Alligator mississippiensis: one gene and its partners. The protein of the gene in region 2 interacts with the protein of the main gene of each other region in a pairwise test. Links are inferred from orthologs where the notes say so. Each region holds a gene or a part of one and is shown on either strand. Other genes may lie near its edges.

Evidence for each region. The genes of interacting proteins can lie anywhere in the genome.
Region 1: the proteins of RAB6A (region 2) and BICD2 interact in binary tests that used the Homo sapiens proteins (3 or more experiments, as listed by UniProt). The link is inferred for Alligator mississippiensis from reciprocal best matches to the Homo sapiens genes RAB6A and BICD2.
Region 3: the proteins of RAB6A (region 2) and PMM1 interact in binary tests that used the Homo sapiens proteins (3 or more experiments, as listed by UniProt). The two-hybrid records come from large-scale screens. The link is inferred for Alligator mississippiensis from reciprocal best matches to the Homo sapiens genes RAB6A and PMM1.

Annotation. Positions count from the first base shown.
Region 1 is NC_081835.1:25,351,604-25,358,795, forward strand, and holds the start of BICD2 (protein bicaudal D homolog 2), read left to right. Parts: upstream 1-4,178; 5' UTR 4,179-4,301; coding exon 4,302-4,541; intron 4,542-7,192. UniProt on the Homo sapiens protein: Acts as an adapter protein linking the dynein motor complex to various cargos and converts dynein from a non-processive to a highly processive motor in the presence of dynactin.
Region 2 is NC_081824.1:467,028,565-467,035,770, reverse strand, and holds the start of RAB6A (ras-related protein Rab-6A), read right to left. Parts: upstream 3,002-7,206; 5' UTR 2,852-3,001; coding exon 2,782-2,851; intron 1-2,781. UniProt on the Homo sapiens protein: The small GTPases Rab are key regulators of intracellular membrane trafficking, from the formation of transport vesicles to their fusion with membranes.
Region 3 is NC_081827.1:97,120,576-97,127,919, forward strand, and holds the start of PMM1 (phosphomannomutase 1), read left to right. Parts: upstream 1-4,330; 5' UTR 4,331-4,387; coding exon 4,388-4,468; intron 4,469-7,344. UniProt on the Homo sapiens protein: Involved in the synthesis of the GDP-mannose and dolichol-phosphate-mannose required for a number of critical mannosyl transfer reactions. In addition, may be responsible for the degradation of glucose-1,6-bisphosphate in ischemic brain.

The DNA of each region.
Region 1 (7,192 bases), on a different chromosome or scaffold from region 2:
GGTAGCATGGTTTGCAAACAGATGCATGTTTAACTGTGACAGTGCAGGACCTTCATATTCACTGCGCCACAGTCTGATCTCACAGGGAATTTATACATGTGGTCTGGAGGGGGGCACTTTAATTAGAGTGGCTCCAAGAGCTGCTATAATTAAAGTGCCTGCAGCGTCATGTATATCAGCATCCCCGTGCTGAAAAATGGCAGTGGGGGAGCTTTAACTAAAGCATGTTGAATGAGCAAACTCCACTGGGTCTGCTCTGATATGCTGTAATTACAGTGTGTTGGAGCAGCCTCCCTGCATGTGTATAGGTGCCCATAGTGGTACAAATTTAGAATGACTCTATTGAAGTCAATAGAACTAATTAGACCAGTGTAAATCTGGGGTGAGATCAGAAGCTGGCTGGCCCAGTTAGTTTGGCTAGAGAATGGCTAGGGGATTTTAGCCACTCTCTGTAGGGCACGTGGAACTCATTGGCAGGAAAAAAATAACTGGCAATATATAAATCTTGAAGTGTTTAATGTAGCAGGTGAGTCAATGTTTTCTGGTTTAGGCCAAACTGAAACAGATACGCCTCTAACAAAATTCTTGCAACATTTTGAAATTAAAAACAAAAGAAACTTTGGTTAATTGCAGTAGCTGATTACATCACTTTTTATTTTTCAGATCCAGGCAAGTTTGTTAAAAGGAAGAGGATTAGGGTGGTACATCAGAATTCACATGACAAATACAGCCTTTCCATGTGAGCCCTGTGGAGTCTGGGGTTGGCACATGATCCCTAACAAAATATTAGCCAAGGCTGCCTAATGACTGTGAGGCTAAATTCACAGACATTAAAGACTTTATTAAAGGGATCTATATGCTCTCATACATACCAAAGTGGATCAGGACAACTATAGATTGGTGGAAGATAAAAGTGCTTGAATAGGCCCTACAGCTAGCTGTAGGCAAAGCCATTGTTTTATATTCTAATCCTCCCATGTGCTCAAACAGGTAATTGTTTTTACTGTTTGGGTTTTATCTAGCAATTTAGTACCAATTATTTTGATGGAGTTGCAATTCTGAGCTTCAGCAAAGGAGGGTGAAGCAGTGACCAAGCTGGACAAGCTCTCCCAGTGACTTTGAGAGGGCTGAGCTGTGCTCCCAATTAAAGTTGTGGAGAGTTGGAGTAACTCCACTGACTACAGTAGAGATACTCACACTGGTGCAACTGAGAGCAGAGTTTGGCTCAGGCTGTTTATCCTTTCATTGTGTCTTATAAGTTAATTAATTCTAATTGGGAGAGTAATTACCACATTACTGGGTCTGTTTACTGTTTTTGGGAACATTCAGCCTTTCATTGTAAGGGACTTTGCCACATTAGTTGACTACATTTCCCCACTGCGGAGTGCCCCCTTTTTCAAGTGGTATTAAGATGGTAAGGAGGCTGCTTGTGCAGCACTGTGTATTTCCCTTTGCATGAGCCCATCAAGTCTTACGCAAAAATCTATATTAGGTGCAGAGAAGCCCCCATTTTTGTAGTACCTGAGGGCCTCAGTCTAGACTGCTAATGCCTCACTAGAACCCTAGGAAGGAGGAAAATACTTTTATTCCCAAATTATAGCTGGAAAACACTATGCAGCCACTGAGTGTGGATTTGAAATAATAGAAAAAAGAAGAGGTTGTAGTACTCCTGTCAGCATGTAGAAGACTTACTGGACACACACATGCACTCACACACATTCTATAGCTAGTGAGTAAAATTATGATAATAGGTTTGCTGTCATGAACAAATGTACTTGCTAACTTCTTTTTAAGGTAGCTTTTGTAAAATAATATGCATCCTTTCCAGCTGTCTGTCCAGGAATGACCATGACCCACTTCTGCACAAGCAGTGGCATGATTCTTCATCTAGCTGTTGTAAGATACTCATTTCTGGTGATCTGTTCTACAAGAACTGGACATTCAGGACATGGAACTGCAAGTGAGCTAGGAATAGTGATTTCCTCCACCATAGATCAGTTAAATGAATAAATATGAGAACCATGTCTGATAGTCTGACTGGCAAGTTGGGTTTGCAAGTGTGGTTTGCAACCCTTTGAAGTCCAGACCCACATAGCCCAGCTGCATAGATCCAGGAGTACTACTGCTATTCTGAAATGCTAATCATGAACTGTCTGCTGTATTTTACAACATAATACCCTGCAGTGAATATCTGCTACAGAAACTTGTCCATGTTTCTATTGCTTGACATGTTTGGCTTTTTTTCCCCTTCCCCATTCTAGTCACTTGCAGGCTTGTTCTCAATTACAGCTCTTACGTAGTCAACACATCTGAGCATGTGCACAACTTTAAATAGATGAGTTCTGTTGAACTGAGTGGGACTACTCATGTGATTATAGTTATGCATGTGCTTTAAATGTTTTTCCAGATCAGGGTCTTAAAAGGCAACATGAATCTTTATTACCTATTTGTGGGAGTAATTCCATCTCACTTGCTGTCATTAATCACCTTTGCCCCTTGTATCTGTACCTATTCTGAAAAAATTTAAAAAATGTAAAGATCAGAGAAAACAAACATGACCAAACAAATAGCTTTCCATAAGCTGTTTACATTTCTTCTTTTTATTGTTGTCCCCAACTGTCTCCCATGCAAAGCTTCCTGCAATTTCCTTTTATATACTCTGTCTAGATTGTAACCTCCCTGGAAGCAAGAACCTCATCTTTTTACTTCCCTGCTTATTCACTTGAGAGAGAGATGAGATCAGTGACAGAAGAATTAATTATATTAAAAGTAGTAATATAGCAATTACCTTCTGAAAGATAAGAGTCTCAGCCAAGACAATTCAGGGGTGTTTTTTTAATTTAAAATATTCAAATTAGAAAATAAGTACTTTGAGTGAGCAAAAGTTAGAAATGTGCGAAGCTTTGCAGTACAATAACTAGCAGAGAGTGGGTAGTTAACTGTATTTAGTCTAACGTCAGGCAGAAGGCAGGGCACGGCAGGGTGGCACCTTACAGATTGATTCATTCAGAGAAGCATAAGCTTTCACAGGCAACAGGCCTACTTCATCAGATGCTATGAAGGCATCATTTAAATAGGTTGTCACCTATAAAAGTGTGTGCCTCCGAATGTATCAGTCTCTGGGGGCCACACCCTTCCGTCAGTGCAATAACTGATTGATTCTTGTAACCAAGTAATTCTATCATGATGGATATAACACCTTTCATTTTGAAACAAACAAAAGCCAAACTCTCGAGAAGCATGCACACCTTGAAAAGCAAATGCACTCTCTCATCTTGGCTATCTTGGTTTTCCTTTCCCTTTCTGGCCATCTTCCCTCCTGTGTTGTTTTCACTGGGATTATTTGACCCCAGCAGTCTTTCCTGATCAGAGAAAGGGGGGGCCCTCAACTTCTGTGAATCCCTCTTTCTAGCTCGATCTTTAAACCCTTATTGATGTGTGTGGTATTCACCTCCATAGCAGTCACCTTGATTTCAAGAGTTACGCATCTGAATAAGGGCTTGAAAGTTCATATTAGGCCCTGAATGCAAAGACCAATGCCCACCAGTAGCCCCACAGGAGCAAGCAGTTACATGGGGATAATCTGGTTTCAGAAACCAGTGTCTGTCTTTGCAGGGGCCATTCTCTGGAGGTGGGGGGTACCTTTTATCGAATCGATAGCATGCTTGGGATAAGACAGACAAGTTTCTGAATGCAAGGTACTCTTCATGGAGGGGTCTTCTTGTGACTGTAGTCTTCAGAAATCATTTTTCTTGTTTGTGTATAAAATGGCCAGGCTTGCTAGTCTTCATGAATGAAGAAATCAGCCAGAGTGACTATGTGCTTAGCCTGACAAACACTTCTTCAGGCTGGAGGTTGGCCATTGGTGCTCATTGAATAGGCAGGCATGTCCACCTGGCCTAGCGGCAGCCCTCAACCCACTAACTCCCCTCATCCCCACGGTTTCTAGCGGCCTGGAGGAGGAAGGGGAGCGGCCCTGACACGGTCCAGGGCACCGCTGCTCGTGGCGTCTCCCAGAGGAGAGAGAAGCCGCGGCGGCCGCGCCCTTGAGCCGGGGGCAGCTACGCCCTTCCTAGCCGGGAGACCCCGACGCTGCGGGGCGGGGGCGCGGTGCATTGTGGGGCGGGCGGGGGGCGGGGCTCGGCGGGACTACGATCCCCAGTAGCGCGCGCGGCGGCGGCCGCCGTTTGAATGACTGCGCTGCGCTCCGCGGCGGCGGCGGCGGCCGCGGGCACCGGGCGGCTGCGTGAGGGGCGAGCCCAGCCCATGGCAGCCCCGCGGCGGTGAGCGCTGCCCCCGCGATGGCGCTGGCCATGGAGGAGGACGAGTACGCGCGGCTCGTGATGGAGTCGGAGCCCGAGTGGCTGCGGGGCGAGATCAAGCGGCTCTTCCAAGAGCTGGGCGAGACGACGCGCGAGAAGATCCAGGCGGCCGAGTACGGGCTGGCCGTGCTGGAGGAGAAGCAGCAGCTGAAGCAGCAGTACGAGGAGCTGGAGCTGGAGTACGAGACCGTGCGCACCGAGATGGAGCAGCTCAAGGAGGTGGGCGCCGCGCCCGCCCCGAGCCGGGAGCCGGGGCAGGACGGGCGAGGCTCGCAGCCTCGCGCTGCGGCGGGGGGAGGCCGGGGCGGCGAGCTCCGCCGGGCTTGGCACCTCTGCGGGGCTCCTTGGGTTAAAAACCAACCCCCGCGGAGGGCGCGGGTCCGCTCGGCTGCGCGGGGAGGCGGCCGGGGCCGGGCTGGACAACGCCCACGGCCGCCGGTGACAGCGGAGAGCCGGCCCGGCCCGGCCCCGCGGGGAGGCTGCAGGCATTTCGCTGCCGTCACACCGGGCTGCAGCCAGACTGCTCCTCGGGACCCCGGGCCGCTCGGGTCCCATTTTGTTTGGTTCCGCTGGTTTTCAGCTCACATCCGTTTTTAAAAACAAACTCAAAATGAGCCCCGTTCAGACCGAAGCAGCTGAGCACGCAGGCCCCTGGCCTGCTTTCCTTGAACCTCTGAGCAAACCATTCCTCTTCCTCTTGCCCAGACTGACTGATGAATGATTAGGGATCAGCATTTTGTTACGCTGAGGTGTTGGTAGTGGGCAAGGACTGCGGCAGGGGGTGCCTTTCATTGGGCCAACTGGACGCAGACGAGCTTTCAGCTGCAAAGCATTCCTCATCCCAGCCCTCGCAACGGTCCATTCCTCTTGCATAACTCCTGGACCATCACAGGGCCATCGTGGTTACAACATCATTCAAACGTTATCTAATGCTGGTAGTAAGAAGCCCTAGATACATAACCTGGGTAGGTTTAAAGTTAAATGTATTTTGCATTGGGGGTTTGTACAGCTGTACCTGAGCTGATTTCAAGTTGAAGCTGGTACATGTGGAGCAGCCCTCAAAGAACGCAAGTTTGATGAGGAGGTGAGGGAGCCACTAAGGAGCCTCATAAAGAGGATTCATTCTGATCTTTTCTTTGTTCCCTTGTAGCTTCTTCCATCCTTGCAGAATAACCATACCTACCCCTTACATAGTCCTTTATATCACAGTAGTCAGAGGAGACAGTCTGCTGTCGCTTTACAGAGTGGGTGGGGAAGCCAAGGCACAGAGCAGTGAAGTGATTCCCACAAGGTGACCCAGCAGGCTGCGGGGGAGTCGGCAATAGGACCTGCCTCCTGAGTTCTGTCTGCACTAGAGCAAACCTGTTGGGCTGGGCTGTGGGAGATGCTGTAGGATTCAGGTTAAAAAAGCCTGGCTGAAGAATTGCAGCATGTTGTTGAAATCTTAAGAAGCAGAGACAAAAAATCATGGTTGCCAATTCACTCCTCTTGTGTTTGATTTTTTTGTAGGATTTTCATGTGTCTGTCCATCCTGTGGTAATTATCTCAAGCCCTTGCATGCAGACAGTTCCAGGAACAGCTTGAGGACTCTGCTGGTCAGGGGAAAATGTAGTTGCTGTAGTTTTCTTGTGTTGCGAACCTGGAATCTGGAATTTGTTAGGATGTACTAACTCTCCAGCAGACACAAGTGGAACAGTCTTGGAAGGGGATTTTGTTTTGTTTATGTAACTTTTCGTTTTCCCAGGCTTAACTAGAAGTGTTTTACACATAAGATCTGCCACATGGCAAGCTTGAATTTAGAGGGAATTAATCTTTGGGTTATATAAGCTTGCATCAGAGTAAAGCAGGGTTTTGGGAGAAAAATGTAGGCCTCAAAAATGTAGGTCATCTTTCAATCCCCTGCTCTAATTGCACCTTCACACTCACTTTCATAACATATCAAATCAGTGGTATTTTTCTATAATTACTTTTGACAGGAGCCCTCAGAGATTCAGGGTGCTCCTGGCCTTGTGCTAGGTGATGTTTCAGTGCATAGCTAGACAAGGTCCCAGCCCAGAAGGAGTGACTTTCATCTACTTGCAATTTTTTTGAGTGCAGTAAAGTGTCCCTCATGATGACAGCTTACAGCACAAGTAAATGGGGTGTGTGCAGCCTTCTGAGGAACAGTCTGCCCAGGGTACAAGCTATTCTGATGCTGTTCCTGGAGGTTTGATAACCTATGTGGCCAGTATGTTCCTAAAGCATAGGGTGTTACTAATGGAGCTGCATGATTGCTTCTTTAGTTTTATCCCTAACTTGTATACAGCTGCCAAGGCATTTTACTTCCAGAACTGTACTTCAGAGTATTCAGGGTTGTACAGACATTTGGCATTTGCACTTCAATCCTTTCCTCCATCCTTCCTTTCCCATTTATAGTGAAGGCTGGAGCCCTGGGTGAACTTTCATCAACATAGTTTTGAGCGTGGTGATACAAAACCTGTTCCTGTGTGCAAATTTGTTCTGCATTTCTCTTTTGCTCCACTTTGATTTATTATTCCATAAAAAGTTAGAGAGATTACTGACTGAAAAGTACTTTAGGGGTAAGATCACAGTTTCTGTGAACTGCAATCCATTTTATGCTTTTCTGGGACAGTTAAAGCTATGTGTGTGATTTATTTCTTTGGACTCTATGGGGAAAATACCTGTTGTGGTTAATTATTGCATCACCTGAAGAAAACCAAACAGGTTATATTACAAGTTGACAAAAATAAGTAGCTTAATGGACCTTCTTTGGCAGGATGCTACAAGCCTTTATCTTGAAAGGAACTAAGTAGTTGTTACTTTGAATTGGATCACTCCTCCTGAGTTAGGGGCCTGCAGGATCGACTCCA
Region 2 (7,206 bases):
CACCTGACATGAAGTAAGATCAAAGACACTAAAGGGAATCAGAATATTATATATATATTTTACTGTAGCTGCATTTAATCCCTCAGCACAAAGCTGTCTTTTCAGGAAAGATTAACATATTTAAAATGACTAAACTCTATGTAATCTGCAATCACCGAAGAAGTTAATTCAATTAAGGCAAGCCCCTGTTAATATTTTTTTTAATTTCTTGCTAGTCGCCCTACAATGCACAGCTTACATCGCAAGTCAGAGAGATGAGATACACACAGAGGTGCTTTTAGCTATCCATGGAATAAAATGCAGGTTTGCAATCAATCTACAGCAAGCACCTGAGGTTTCATCGATCCAGTTTTGAACCAGAAAAAGCATACTCTCACTGAGAACCAGCGATTTGCAGTAAATCCCAAAAGAAGCTGCAAGTGACCTTATGTCATGCAGCTAACACACCGACTGACTGGCATGGGCAGGGGAGGGCTCCAAGGGATGGACGACTGCAGCAGTGTGTCAGCTTTCATTCTCCAACATGCAGGGCTCAAGGTGTTGATGCAACAAAAATGAAAGCCAGATAAATTTTAGTAACTGAGGAGATGCAAGAAGCAGGGAGACAGAGGGGGCTTTATTTCAGAGATTAAATCAGAAGCCCCCAAACCTTCTTTGTTCAGAAAAAAAAACACACATTATTGCTGACAATAATGCATAGCATAATCTGGAGAAGAAAGAAAAAAAAAATCACTGCAGTGCAAGCAAACGTGTTTATTTAGGTAGAAAGCTGCACTGAATTGCCACGATACAGCCAAGGAGAAAAAAGGATGCTATTTCCATCGTTGGCCGATCACTTTTCCAAATAAAATACAAAAATAGATTCGGCAGAAACATTCCCTATTTCACAAGGCAAGACATTCTCTTTGAACACTTGGCTGCTTCTCCTGTGCCAGCTCGAAAGCCTTTAACGAGGTCCAATTAAGAACCAGGCAGCAGTAGCACATACATTTCTTGAAAAGATTGTAGGAAGCCAACACAAGAGGCATGATCTTAGCCCTGACATTCTGGTCTAGCTAATCAACAGCAGCACCCCCGTAACGTTTGATTTGCTTTTCTGAAGGGATTGAAAGGAAACAATGCCAGGGCAGCGTTCTGCTTTCCTACGAGTGGCAGCTAGATACCTTTAATGACGGCCTTCCAACCAGGCAGACAACCATTCAGTGAAACAGGAAGCGAACAGAACATCCCAGTGGCAACAGCTTTTTCAGAAAAGGACGCCTTGATTTGTAAAAGCCGCTGTTATGCAAGGCTTTGCACCCTCCAACGCCAACACAGTGAGGACAGACAAGGAGAGCAAGCTAAACAGGGGCGGAAAATTCCAGCGTTAACATTCCCAGCACTGATCAAGAGATGTTCAGGCTTTTTCTTCCTTGTACAGAAGACCACCATTAGCATATCTATCTAGTTACTAAGGCTAGACGCAACTGATCTTTATGCCGACATGGCTTTGTCCAAATCTCGCTTGGAGAGCAGAAGCAGCCTGGAATAAACAGGCATTTCCAAGCCACGCACAAGAACTCTGTTTAATGAGGTCTCAGAAATGCATCAGGATTGCCTATACTACAAGGACACCGGCTCATGAATGCGTGCCCCCAGCAGCTTTAGAGGAGCCAGCTTGGGTACGGCTACCAGGTGGCACAGCGCTGCCTACCTGGACCACTTGCCTGTGCATTTACCCCGCTTTTTGGGTGGATCTGGCAGATCATACTGGATTGCAGGTGGTTGTTGCTACTCTGCTAGCATTATGCAAGCCGGCGAGCTCGGAGAAGCTGGTGAGCTTAAAAGTAGCTTGGGTGCGTAGACATGAGCTAGTGTTTGCGAGACTGGAAGTACTTTGCTGCATCACTCCATCCTTCCCAGACAAACACACGTATGTTCAAGGGGAATCATCATACTCATGTGTCCAGAATCACTACCAGGAGAGGAGGATTCAGACCATCGGGCACGCAAACCCACGGGCGAGGACAGCAGCTGCCGCGATCCAGCAAGCAGCACCCAGAGAACAAATCCGTTACTGTGCCACGGATCAAACCGCCCTTTGAGACGCACGCCGCACGCAGAGTAAATCTCGGCCCTACGATCAAAGAGGCCGCAGAGCCTGCGAGGAGCGCGGCCGGCATCGGATCGATCCTGACCTGGTACCGACAGCGTCTTCCGCACGCGAACCGCTCTCAAGATCCTCGTAAAACGGCTGGCCGAGCAACACCTCGCTGCTGGCGCCCGGGACTCACGTGGTGGGGGGGGGGGTGTCACTCGGGGGCTATTGCGACAAAGGGGAAATAAAGAGAAGAGGCAGGCCAAAGGGAAGGGCCCACGTACGTGGCTTGACTCCCCTCGTACCGCGGAGGGCGATGGAAGTGACACCGACACCGACGTCCTTGTGGGAAGCACGGGGGGTGTTTAGCAATGCGGGCGCAGCAGCACCCCGTGCCCCGACGTCCCCCTCATTAAATCGGGGTGAAAAAGCACTCACCACTGCTGACGTGCAAAGGGCGGGGGGGGGGGGGGGGGCCAAGCCAGGCCTCCCCATCTCTTCCCTGCCAAAAGGTGGAGGAGATGCTCGCTCACTCGAGGTGTGTGTGTGTGTGTTGGGGGGGGATCTCCCTGCCCCCCCTCATTGCAGGGAGGGGACGCAGCCCCATGTGGGCAAACCCGCCCCCCCCCGCCGGGCACAGCCCAGTCCCCACGGCTGAGGGGGTGCAATAAGGGAGGGGGGGGGAGGAGGGGTGCGGCGCTCACCGCTCTGCTCGCCCAGGAAAACCAGCTTGAATTTCCGCAGCGGGTTCCCGAAGTCGCCGCCCGCCGACATGGCGGCGCCGGGGCCGGTGCTGAGGCGGTGCGGGTGCGGGCGCGGGGCCGAGGCCGGGGCTGACGACTGGAAGCGCGCCGTGCAACCGCTCCCGAGCGCCCGGCGGCGGTGGCGGCGGCTGTAGCGACGGTGGCGGTGGCGCAACGCAACCTGCTGGGCTGTGCGCGCGCAGCTAGGGGGCGGGGTCGCGCTCGGCTCCTCCCCTGTACACGTCAGCGCGCACGCCCCTCAGCCAATAGGAGCGCGAGGATGGGGGGAGCGGGGGGAGCGGCGCGCGGCGGGGGCCATGCCGAGTGTGGCAGCGGTGACGTCAGCGGGCCGGGGCGGAGGGCTCCCGGGGGTGTGCGAGGCTGGGAGCCGGCTGTGCAATTATGTGATTCCTCTGCTTGCTCCGGTCAGCGCCAAGCTGAGTTGATTTAAGCTGGTAACAAAAGAATGACGGTCTTGTGTGAAAGAAAACTTTTCACAACGATAAAGAAAGGAGAAAAAAAACCCAAAAAAATCAAGGCCATCGGCTGTTTGCAAAAGGCACGGGCCGCTCCGTATCGCGCACGACACGCCAGCAACATAAGAAGTTCAAATAACAAAATTTAAGCAATCATTAAATAAAGCCAAAGCAGAGCGGCAGAGCAGAAGGGGAGCACCGGACGGGGGAGCAGAAAGCAGAGCAGAAGGGGAGCACGGGGCGGTGGGAGCAGAAAGCAGAGCAGAAGATCCAGAAGGGGAGCACTGGGCAGGGCGAGCAGAAAGCAGAGTGGCAGATCAGAAGGGGAACACCAAACGGGGGGAGCAGAAAGCAGAGCGGCATATCAGAAGGGGGGTACCAGACGGTGAAGCAGAAAGCAGAGACGCAGATCCAGAAGGGAAGCACCAGACAGGGGGAGCAGAGAGCAGAGCAGAAGGGGAGCACTGGGCAGAGGGAGTGGAAGCAGAGCAGCAGATCCAGAAGGGGAGCACCAGGCGAGGGGAGCAGAAAGCAGAGTGGCAGATCCAGAAGGGGAGCACTGGGTAGGGGGAGCAGAAAGCAGAGCGGCAGATCAGGGGAGCAGAAAGCAGAGCAGCGTATCAGAAGGGGGACACCAGACAGTGAAGCAGAAAGCAGAGAGGCAGATCCAGAAGCGAAGCACCAGCCGGGGAGCAGAGAGCAGAGCAGAAGGGGAGCACCGGGCGGAGGGAGCAGAAAGCAGGATGGCAGATCCAGAAGGGGAGCACCGGGCGGGGGGAGCAGAAAGCAGAGCAGCAGAGCAGGCAGGGCAAGGAGATCGGAGTGGCACTGGCGAGCAGCGTGGTGCATAGGCAGCAGAAAGCCGGGGCTTGGGGGGTCTTAGCCCCTGCAAACTCATTTTGCGGCACCGCTCGGCGTGCAGCCAGGCCAGCGCCCCAGGCGCGCTCAGCTCCGCGCGGCTGAGGAAGAAGAGGCTAACCGCGCGTGCGCCGCACTGCACAGCGCACGATGGGGGTTGTCGTGCTCATGCTGATGCCTGCACTCAACCCCCGCCCCCAATAATATTTTCTCTCCCTGTCTATGGTGTGAGGCTGCTTGGTGGCATGCCTGCCAAAAAGGTTGCCCCCCACCGCAATCTACTCATTCCAACCCTTGGCTAGGATGGTCGTGACAGAGCTGAGCTGCCTTGGACAGGGGGCTGGACTGGATGGCCTCTGGATGGCCCTGACAACCCTCCGCTCTTCTGTGATCCTAGAAAATGCTCGATGGATGGGAGCAAACCCAACCTCACTGCTCCTTTGCATTTTTCCCATGCTGCTGCATACGCCTCTGCGTTTTCCCATGCATGTTAAAGACAGGAAGTGGAGGGGCCGCGAGTCAAAAGTGTGTTGGAGACACGGGTAAAGTCTAAGCTAAGAGCTGGGTTCATCATCGGGGCTGGCATTAGAGCAGTGCAAAGCACCCCGACTTGCCCTTGTAGCCTTGACAATGACTAGTAGCTGTCAAATCCAGGACCGTGGCGGGTATGGTTGTCTAACAAAGACCAGGGCCTGATAGCAAGCTTTGCCCCTGGTCCCCAAAAGGGAAGCCCTGACCCTGTTCCTCATTGCACCTTATTCACTGTGCACAGGCCCCAGGGTTGGGGCGGGGGACAGAGGCCAAGGCTGCTTTAAACCACCTCTGCTGATCCATTATTTTGGGATCAGTGAGGGACTGTCAAGGTAAAGCACACTGCAGCACTGTCCTCCCTGGCACCTGGCTGCCAGGAATAGCCTGGGTCCTGCAGCTCTCCCCAGCTGCAATCTCTTATGAATGCCCCCCCCATATGCTGCCTGATGCCCAAAGGGAGGAGGGAAGTTGACACCCAGCTTGTTTCACACTACGGGGAGATTTTCCTTCCACCAGCCAACTTCCCTAATGACAAGGTAGAGCTGCTACTTGGCCCCTTTGCACCAGCACCAGGCGAGGGAATTGGCACAAGCAGAAGCTGGGTCCTATATGACTTGCCCCAGGTCAGAGAGCAAACTAGAGGTGGATTAAGCCAGAGTTCTTGTTTAGACCACATCTTTTCCCCTGTAGAGAGGGCTGTGCTAAATAGACCCCCGAACCTTAATGTTATCAAGACACACCATCTCCTCCAGCCTTTTCCTCTTGGGTACAAAAAGCAGCTGCTGCAGGTTTGTGCTTTGACTCGGGTCCCCAGGCTCACACGTGTAACTTCAACTTTGCCCTCCCCATGATGAAAACCCTTGCAACGTGTTTCAATGAGCCATTTAAAAACCTTAGTCATGAATGATTCAAATCTCTCGTATTGTCACGGCTTGGCAGGCTCCTAGCATGACAGACCTAGATTGCTTGCAAAGGAAAAGGCAGAGCCTATCACAGCTTAGCCTTTAAACAGCTTTTGCAAGCAGACTGTGTAGGGAATGTATTTTTTTTCCCTGCTGAGAGCTATTCATTTTCTGTTGTCCTCTCCCAAGTAGCCATCGAGGTAGCTCTGGAGTTGGGGATTATAATTACTTTGGACTAGCTCCAAAATTTTATACATCAATCTATCACTGCTGCTGTGGCTGCTACTACGCTTTCATGCAGCTGCGGCATTTGTACCTCTGTCTGATGTAACACTTTCTTCCTCTGCCACCAGCAGCTTCCCAAGCTTCAGCTCCTGTCCTGAGATTTAAAAAAAAAAAACCCTGGCCCATTTTGGCTTCCCTGCTATGTATTTTAAGCAGACATTGAAAGTCATGCACTTCCGTTGCCGCAAGTCTTGAGAGAATCAGAATTTTCCAGACTGGTTGCCAAAAGAGCCCGGGATCCTGAGCTGAGGACAAGCTGCCTTTGGTGCACATCAGCTGTAAGTCTGCAATGATCTTCAAATTCCCTCAATCCAGAGGGAAGTCCAGGCATTGTGCACATCCCCCGCATAAATAGAGCAATGCTTGAGGTTACCATCATTTATACTGGCTGTCAAGAGTCTGCAGGATAACAGTAACTTAGCCACCTCATTCCTTTAGCCATGCCTCTGCCCTAGGATGCAGATCCAAGCATGCTGCTGTAGAGGGGAATCCTCCAGGGACCATGAGACACAGCTGTCTGTACTGATGGAGGGGGCAAGCCAGGGGCAGGAGCCCTGGAAATCAGGCCTCATATTTTTTACTGTCTCCTGCATACAATAATGCTTGTATAGCTTGGTCAGCCCCAGTCTGTCAAACAAGTCACTGTTTTTCCTTTGCTGCTGTGAGCTGCCAGGGTGGGTTGTATCAAGAATGAGAAAAGGGGGTCGGACTCAATGATCTATTGAGGTCCCTTCCGACCCTAACACCTAACATCTATGAAAATATACTGCCTTCATTACTCATTCACTTATTATTGATTGGACCCCAGCAGTCTTATGAGCTGCATAAGCGTGGAAGAAAATGTTCTCCCAAGGATGGAAATCACAGCAGCCTTGCCCTCAGAAACACTGGCAAAGCTCCTGCTGGCATTGGTGGGATTTACAGACTGGGCTAGTGGACAAAAGTGCTGGTCTGGGACTCGGGATACCTGGGCTCTTTTTCTCTGCTCTGCCACTAGCCACCTGGGTGATCTTGGGCATGTCACTTCACTTCTCCTGGCCTCACTTTCCTTAGGTGTGAAATGGAGATGATACTACTGTCCTCCTTCATAACCACCTTTCAGACCAACTGATGCAAAGCATTAGGTAAGAGCTAGGAATGTTTTTATTGTTTAGGACATCCATGCATTTAAGGGCAGAATAGGGCTCCTGACCATATACATCAGGCAGGGGATCCAATTTGGCTGAGTGTACCTTGGAGTCAGCAGGTGTAAGTCCCACGCAAGACCTCAAGTGAAATTTAGCAGTGATGTCAGTCAGTGGAAGTTAAACGTCAGGAGTAAATGGATCGGGAAG
Region 3 (7,344 bases), on a different chromosome or scaffold from region 2:
ACCCTAAGGCCATACCCAGGAAGTGTGCCCACCAGATAGCTTAACCCAGACATCCAGCCCCATGGCATATAACTGCTATGAGTTCAGCACATGCAAATGTGAGGAATGTTGCCATCTGTGTTTTTGGAAAACAAGCTGTGTTCACATAGCAAGGAAGGAACACCTTCACAAGCATGCCAGGTGACCAGCTAACACTTCTGGAGTTCCCAAAACACCTGTATGGAAAGAGTTTAAGTAAAACATGCTTGCTAATGCAGGTTTAGACAGCTCTTTTCCTGGTTTACGCATGGCTTGAAGCAAAGCCAGGACCTACGGCAGAGTGATCTGCTCAGGCATCTGCTGTTCCTGATAGAGTAGTTAGTGCAGAAGAGACACCTAGTCAAGTAGCTATTGTCTGTAAGGGGTAGGGCTATAAGTACACTGCTGTACCCTCTGTTCGTCCAGGCCATGTGCTGTTTCCCCCACCCCCTGCTACACACACAAACCTTTCAAAGGCCAACACAGACACATCACTACCACACTTTCCAAACATTCTGGAGCACATACCTCCCATTTACTTGAGACCAAAGTTCAAAGTCCTGACCCTAATCTACAAGGCATTTCACGTCCTTGGACCTAGTTACCATATAGTCAATCCTGCCCTGCAGTCTTCCATGTCAGGTACACTCCATGGGGATGACCCAGAAGAAAGAGGATGGTCTTGTGGTTAAGAAGTGGCATGGGCTCTCAGGAAATCTGGGCTTAAGTCTCCATTTTGCCACCAATTCCCCATGTTACCTTGGATTAATCGCTTAAGCAAAGCGCATCTCAGCTTGAGAAGGGAACTTCCCTACCCACCAGGGTGCTCTGAGGAACATGCATTAGCTGTTATGCGTTGTTGGTTGTAGTCATGTTGGTCTAAGGACATAGGCAGACAAGGTTATTTGGGTAGATGTGATATCTTTTAATAGACCAACTAACTAGTTGGAAAAATTATTCTTTGCAAACTTTTGAGCACAAACACCCTTCTTCAGGCATATCGAGTCTGATGGTGAACTGCGTGCTCTCCTGGGTAGAATAGAAGCCAACATGCAAAATGTAGGTCTGTGAAAATGCAGAGGTGCAGAGGTGGATCTTACTTAGCTGTTATGAGGTGCTCAGGTTCTAATGTGTCCTGTAGGATGGTCAGAACATTGCTGGTGGCAAGACCCGGGCTGTGTTCATCTGTCAAAGATCAGTCTGACCCCAGACACAAAATTCTTCTAACCCAGCTGCATTTCTTCAGTAAACCTTCCCCAGAATCGATCCTGTGGAGAAAAGACCTAACACACAAAGTCACTCTCCTCTGCCCCCACAGAGGCTGGAAGGGAAAAACAACTTTTGGCCAGGGCTTTTGTGTGGCTCAAATACCACAGAGAGCTGTTACATCAAAGCTCAGGTAAACTGAGACAAAGTAGCTTCTTAACACTGACCACAATTTGCTTTCCTTAGGGATAGAAGTGTCTGGAAATAAAGTGCATGTTTGATTGCATTGGGCTCATCGCAGCATTCCCGACAGATGCTCTCACCCAGCTGACACATGGAGCTCATTTTAACCGGAATCAGAATAAATTATAGGCCAAGATTTTCCAGCCTCCACAATCATCAATAGATTCAGCTGCTCTTTGGAACAACCCTCAGTCCCAAGAGCATGCAACAAAGGCTGCACTTTAGGGGTAAGAATAAAACCTCCAAGGTTTCCACGTGGGAGCAATCTGCTTGGGTGCTCCTCAGGAATGGCCCCAAAAGATGCTGAAGTCTGGCTGAACACAACACATTTTAACACCGCAGGCTCTATGAACAACTGCTGAACTGAGCAGCTGCTGTATTTGTCTTACCAACAGTTGTGTTCAGCCATGTAACACAGTCTAGGAAGGCAATGTGGTGAGGGATAGGGATTTATTATTTACTATTGCTTACGAGAACTAAGGGCCACAAAATGAAACTAGTAGGTAGCAAGTTTAAAACTAACAAAAAGATGTTCTTTATTACACACAGAGTGCCATTAGAGTGTGGATCTCCTTGCCACCAGATTGTTGTGCGTGCTGACAGTTTAGCCAGGTTCAAAAAGAGATTGGATGCTTTCTTGGAGGAAAGGGGCAGCAGTCGCTATTGAGCACAGGAGTGAGGGGCACCATCCGAATCAGACCTTCCTAGGCCCTAAATGCTGGAGGCTGCAAGTGGGAGAGCAACAGTGGGGAAAAGCCCCTGGTCATACCCTCATCTTTTGCTACCCACTCTCTGCCACTGCGTGACAGGCCTTTTTGACGTGCCTAGCGAATCATGGGGTTGAGCCCATCAAGGAAGAGCTTTTCACCTTCCTTAGTGGGGAAGCTACTGGAGACACATCAACTGAGTTCAGGGGAAAACTAAAGAGAAAACAGGGACTGGAGTCACGTCACAGGTTCAAAACAAGTGCTCCGAGGGGGGACACTAAGCAGAGCACACCAGCCAGTGCCCACTGGCCTTCAAACACATCCTGGGAGCCAGTGGACACTGCATACTGAAACTCTGCTCGGATACATGAATGGACAAGGGACAGGAAAGCAGCCCCACAGTCCCCAGGAGTCATCCCAGCCAGTCTCCTTCCTGGTCAGATAAATTGCGAGTTTAGCCAGGGCCAGAAGGAGGTTCATCAGGAACCTCCGGGCACTTGGTGGGGCCAGAAGACTGGACAAGTCAGGTAAATTTTCTATCCAGTGAATGGCAGCTCTTAAATTTTTAACATACACTCCATCCTTGATGAAGCTGAAGTTGGTTCCTTATTCCCAGTTCCTTATTCCCAATTCCTGTTTTTTTCAAAAGTAATCTTTACACAATTAAAAGTTTCTGGTAAGGGATTTGATATGCTAAAGAATTAGAATATAATAAAAAATGTATATTTACTAATACAAATGTAAAATAAGATTATGTACCAAGTATATAGCCTTGAATAAACAGCTGAGATTAGGCTGAGATTATGGGGGAAAATCCTTTTAGACTCACCCCAAAACACACATCTCCATCCCTGGGGGATACTTTTGAATACGTCACCACCGGGGGACTTCTGCCACCGGGGGACTCTCCCAAAGAAGACTGGGCAGAGTCCTGCCCAACCTGAAGGTCGGTTTCTGCGCTGCTGCCTGATCCCCATCACATGCTGCTGTCCACCCCTGGAAAAGTCATGACAGGTGCTTATCCAAAAATCCTCATATTGGCCTAGTTTTTTGTCTAAGACTGCTGCACATTTAATAGGGGGGAAAAACCAAGAAAAAACCTAGTGTAATGTTTAACATGGTTGAAACCTGAATCAAGAAGTCAAATAATACAACGATGTCCCAAGTCAGCGAAGTAGGCTCCATCCTCATAGCAACAGGGTTTCCAAAAAATTCGTATTTCTACATACATGGGCCCCATGAGCTTGAAGTTGGTTCCTTCTTCCCAGTTCCTTTTTCAAAGCTCATCTGCACACAACTAAAGATTGTTAACAAGGAATTAGGCGACAGAGTTAGAATTGCGTCAGAAATATAGATTTATTAATAACCAAGGATCCTGGTTTTCTCCAATTTAAAAAAAATCCCCAATTTTCAGTTTAAAAACAGTAACCCCAAAACCACATTTTTCCATGATCAAAATGAAACACTATATATAAAAACATATATATATATAAAAATACCACATATATTAAAATGAAACACTACATATATGTGTGTATATACACGCACATACATATACACCACTAATATACATAAACCCCACTAATAAATGTGTGCGTGTGTATACAGAGAGAGAGAGTGGTGTTTTGATCATGGAACAATGTGGATTTGGGGTTACTTTTTTTTAACTGAAAATTGGGGATTTTTTTAAAATCCGAGAAAACCAGGCTTTCCTGCTAACAATAACAACGTAAAGATGCAGGCTGGGTGGTGGAGCCGTGATCTCATTCGACATTTGTACTAGCAAATCTACACCGCCGGTGACGCCCCAGCTGTTTGATCTGCCTGGTTCCTCACGAAGAGCCTGAACGTCGGTGGCAGAGGCGATATCTTTCATTAGACCAACTAGACAATTGCAAAAAAAAATGTCTGTATTAGCAAGCTCCCGACTTCAACCTATATTACTAACAGCCGGTCACTGCGGAAAGGGCTCGGGGAAAGGAACCAGCTTCGGGCTCCTCCATCCTCGGCTGCCCCAAGGCGGCGGCGGCGGGAACAGGGTCGCTCCGCGGCGCTCTACGTGTATCCCGGCCTGTGCCGGCGCGGCCACGTGACGCGGCGTCGCTCCCGGATTGGGCAGCGCGGGCAGACGCCCCCGGCCGGCCCCGCCCCGCTGTGCTGTGCAGCGCTCTGCCGGCCGGCCAGGCGGGGCAGGCGGCGGCGGCGGCGGCGGAATGGCCGAGTTGGGCGGCGGGGTCCGCGAGCGCATCCTCTGCCTCTTTGATGTGGACGGGACGCTCACGCCGGCTCGCCAGGTACCGGGGCTGCACGCGGGGAGGGAGACCCCCTGTGCCCGGCCTTTGCCGCGGGCCGGCCAGGGCAGGGGCATCGTGCTGGTGTCCGGCCGGGCTCTGCGCGGCTTCCTCGTGGGGAAGCAGGCTCGGGCTAGATGCCAGGGTTTGAATGACGCTTTGACTCTTGGGGGGGGTCTGCAAAAAAAAAATAAATAAAAAAATTGGGCTGCCCGTCACGATGCCCTGATAAAATCGGAGACCCCCCCCCCTTCCCCTTTATGATTTTTAAATCTTACAGGGGGCTCTTGTGTCTTATAGGGCCCTGAGCTCCCCTGTTACTCAAACCCTGCTAGATGCCACCCTGAGGTCCCTGCCACCCCATTTTCTCTGAGCCCCTGTGATGGGGGAGGGCAGGAGCCAAGCAGGGCTGGACCTCAGAAGCTGCAACCGGGCCCCCACACGTGCCATCCCCTGCGCTGAGAGCTACCCAGAGAGCCTGTGACATTTCCCTCTTTGGAGGTTTTGAAGCCACAGGCAGACCAAGCCTTGGCTGGGATGATCTAGTCGGCGCTGGTCCTGCTTGGGACAGGGGGTTGGGCTAGATGCCCTCCTGTGGTCCCTTCCAGACCTCGTCTTCTAGGAGTCATCCCTGCGCCACTCCGGCCAAGCTAATCCAGGCCCCACTGCCCTCTGCTGCGTCTTCGTCCTGAGCTAGCTGGACCCAAAGGCGGCCGGATGCTGCTGCAGGCCCTGGCTCTCATGGGGGCAGCTGCTTCTGAGGGCAGAGGCACATGGAGCAGCTGCCATCTCAAGCAGAGATCCCTCAGGGGTGCCAGCCCCGTGTGCCCACATAGCCTTGCACCGCAGAAGCAGGAGGTTGGCTGTTATGGTTCCCCTGCTTTTCTTTTGGCCCGTTAGGGCGGTAGGTTGCATTGTGTCAGGGTGGACGGCAGTCTTATGTGGAGTTTAGATGATGGTTGTATGGGATGGTTTGGATAGGGAAGATCCTGCCTCAGGCAGGTGTTGCACTAGGTGACCTTTGGAGGTCCCTTCTAGCCCTGCTCCTCTATGATTGCATGAACTGCTTCTCGCATGCAGCCCCAGAGAGACTCGAACCCGCTTGCTAAGAGCACAAGCGAGGGAGGATGCTCTTGGGGATACCAAAGGGAGGAAATGAGGCCATGTCTTCTGTGACCTGCATGGTTTCTCATCCCCTCTTACTGCCGCCCAGAGGTCGGCACCCTTTAGGCACACCTGGAACCAGACTGGTGCCGGGTTTGCGCTTGCATGGCTCTGAAGCTGGTACTATCTGCACATGCAATGGTCAAATGGGCCTGGCAGGGCGAACTCTCTCCCCTGCATCCCAGTTGTTTTGTTTCTAAGGGCCTCAGCAAAGCAGGCCTCTGCTGAAGTAGAGAAGGGTTCCCTTTCTGTTGGTTGACAGCAGTGTGAGAGTGTTATGCAATGGGCAGCCTGCAGCATCTGCTTGGTTTTCTAGGGAGGAAAGGGAAGCCTGCCCTCTGCTCACAGCCTCGTGAAAGCTGTCTGTGGTACTTGCTTAACCTGTTACCATAGTGCCTAAGGCTCACCCTACTTAATATGTTGATCCAGGAAGTAGGGAAGTGCTGTGGTGCCTATTTAATAGAGAAGCAACTGAGGGCACAGACGGAGTCATGGTCACCCAGGGAATCTGTGTTCGAGAAGTGGTTTGAACTCTGGTCTCTTTCAAGTCTGAGGCTAGGGCCCTAGAGCACTGGGGGATGGAAGATGCTGGCATCTTGTGAGGGAGGAATGGGAGCCGGGCTAGTGAATCCAGGTGGAGAGCCTGGAAGCACCTAGCTCTTCCAAAATAATGCTTCCTGCACCCCCACATCCTTTCATCCATTGCCCTTCCTAGATGTCTCACCCTTGCAGCTACAGGCCAGCTGATCTCCACCCTACTATGGGTTGCATGTAGACCCACATATGCCTTGGCCTCGTGCAGCCCTTTTGTGACTGTTTACCCATCTGTACATTCTGGCCCGGTCCATCTTTGAAGAACTGAATCTGCAAAGATCTGTGTGATCCCTTTCCCATGCCTGCAAATGCATTGTGCTCGCAGCACACAAGTGTTCCCAGTGTTTCACTTACATATTAAATATATTTGGATTTGACTTGTGATTTGCATAGTAGGCACAAGAGCAGTGACCAGCACAGTGAAGTCCTGCTTCCTGGTGGGGACCTTCCCTTGCTGGCTGCCAGTGAATCGCACCACCATGTGTTTAGCTGGGCAAAATATGGCTCACTTCTTGACCTGTTTCAGTTTGAGTTTGATTGATGCCAATGTGGATGGTCCCAAAAGAGGATCAGGCAGTCTTCTCCTTCCTGTGTCATGGCCCTTGGAGAATTCTCTGAATCCACTGCTTTGGGGAGGTCAGCTGGGAACTGTGGGCTGCCAACCATGGCAAAATGATGTAGAACAACAGTAGCATGGAAACAATGCAAAACCATGAGAGGTTGGAGCATGGGTCAGAATGGAAACAGTGAAATGTTTGTGTTTAGACCAGCCTCATCCCACCAGTTCAGTTCTCTAGTGCAGACATGGCCTGGAGGGCTCAATATAATGCAGCAGGATAGTGACAGTGCTCTTGTCCCCCTCATTTAGCTGTAGCAAATTAAGATGTTTTTGGTGTTTTGGGGCACTGTGCCTGGTAGTTGTCAGAGAGGGTTGTTCATGCTGTTTTTAGATTAGATTAGATTAGACCAACGCTTTTATAGGATGGCTTAGTCAGGGATAATCCTGCCTTGAGCAGGGCATTAGATTAGATAACCTTCTGAGATCCTTTTAGCCCAGTTTTCTGTTATTCCTTACCTTGGGCAGGGGTCTTGTGAGGCTAGATATGTGTCTGTAAGGCTCG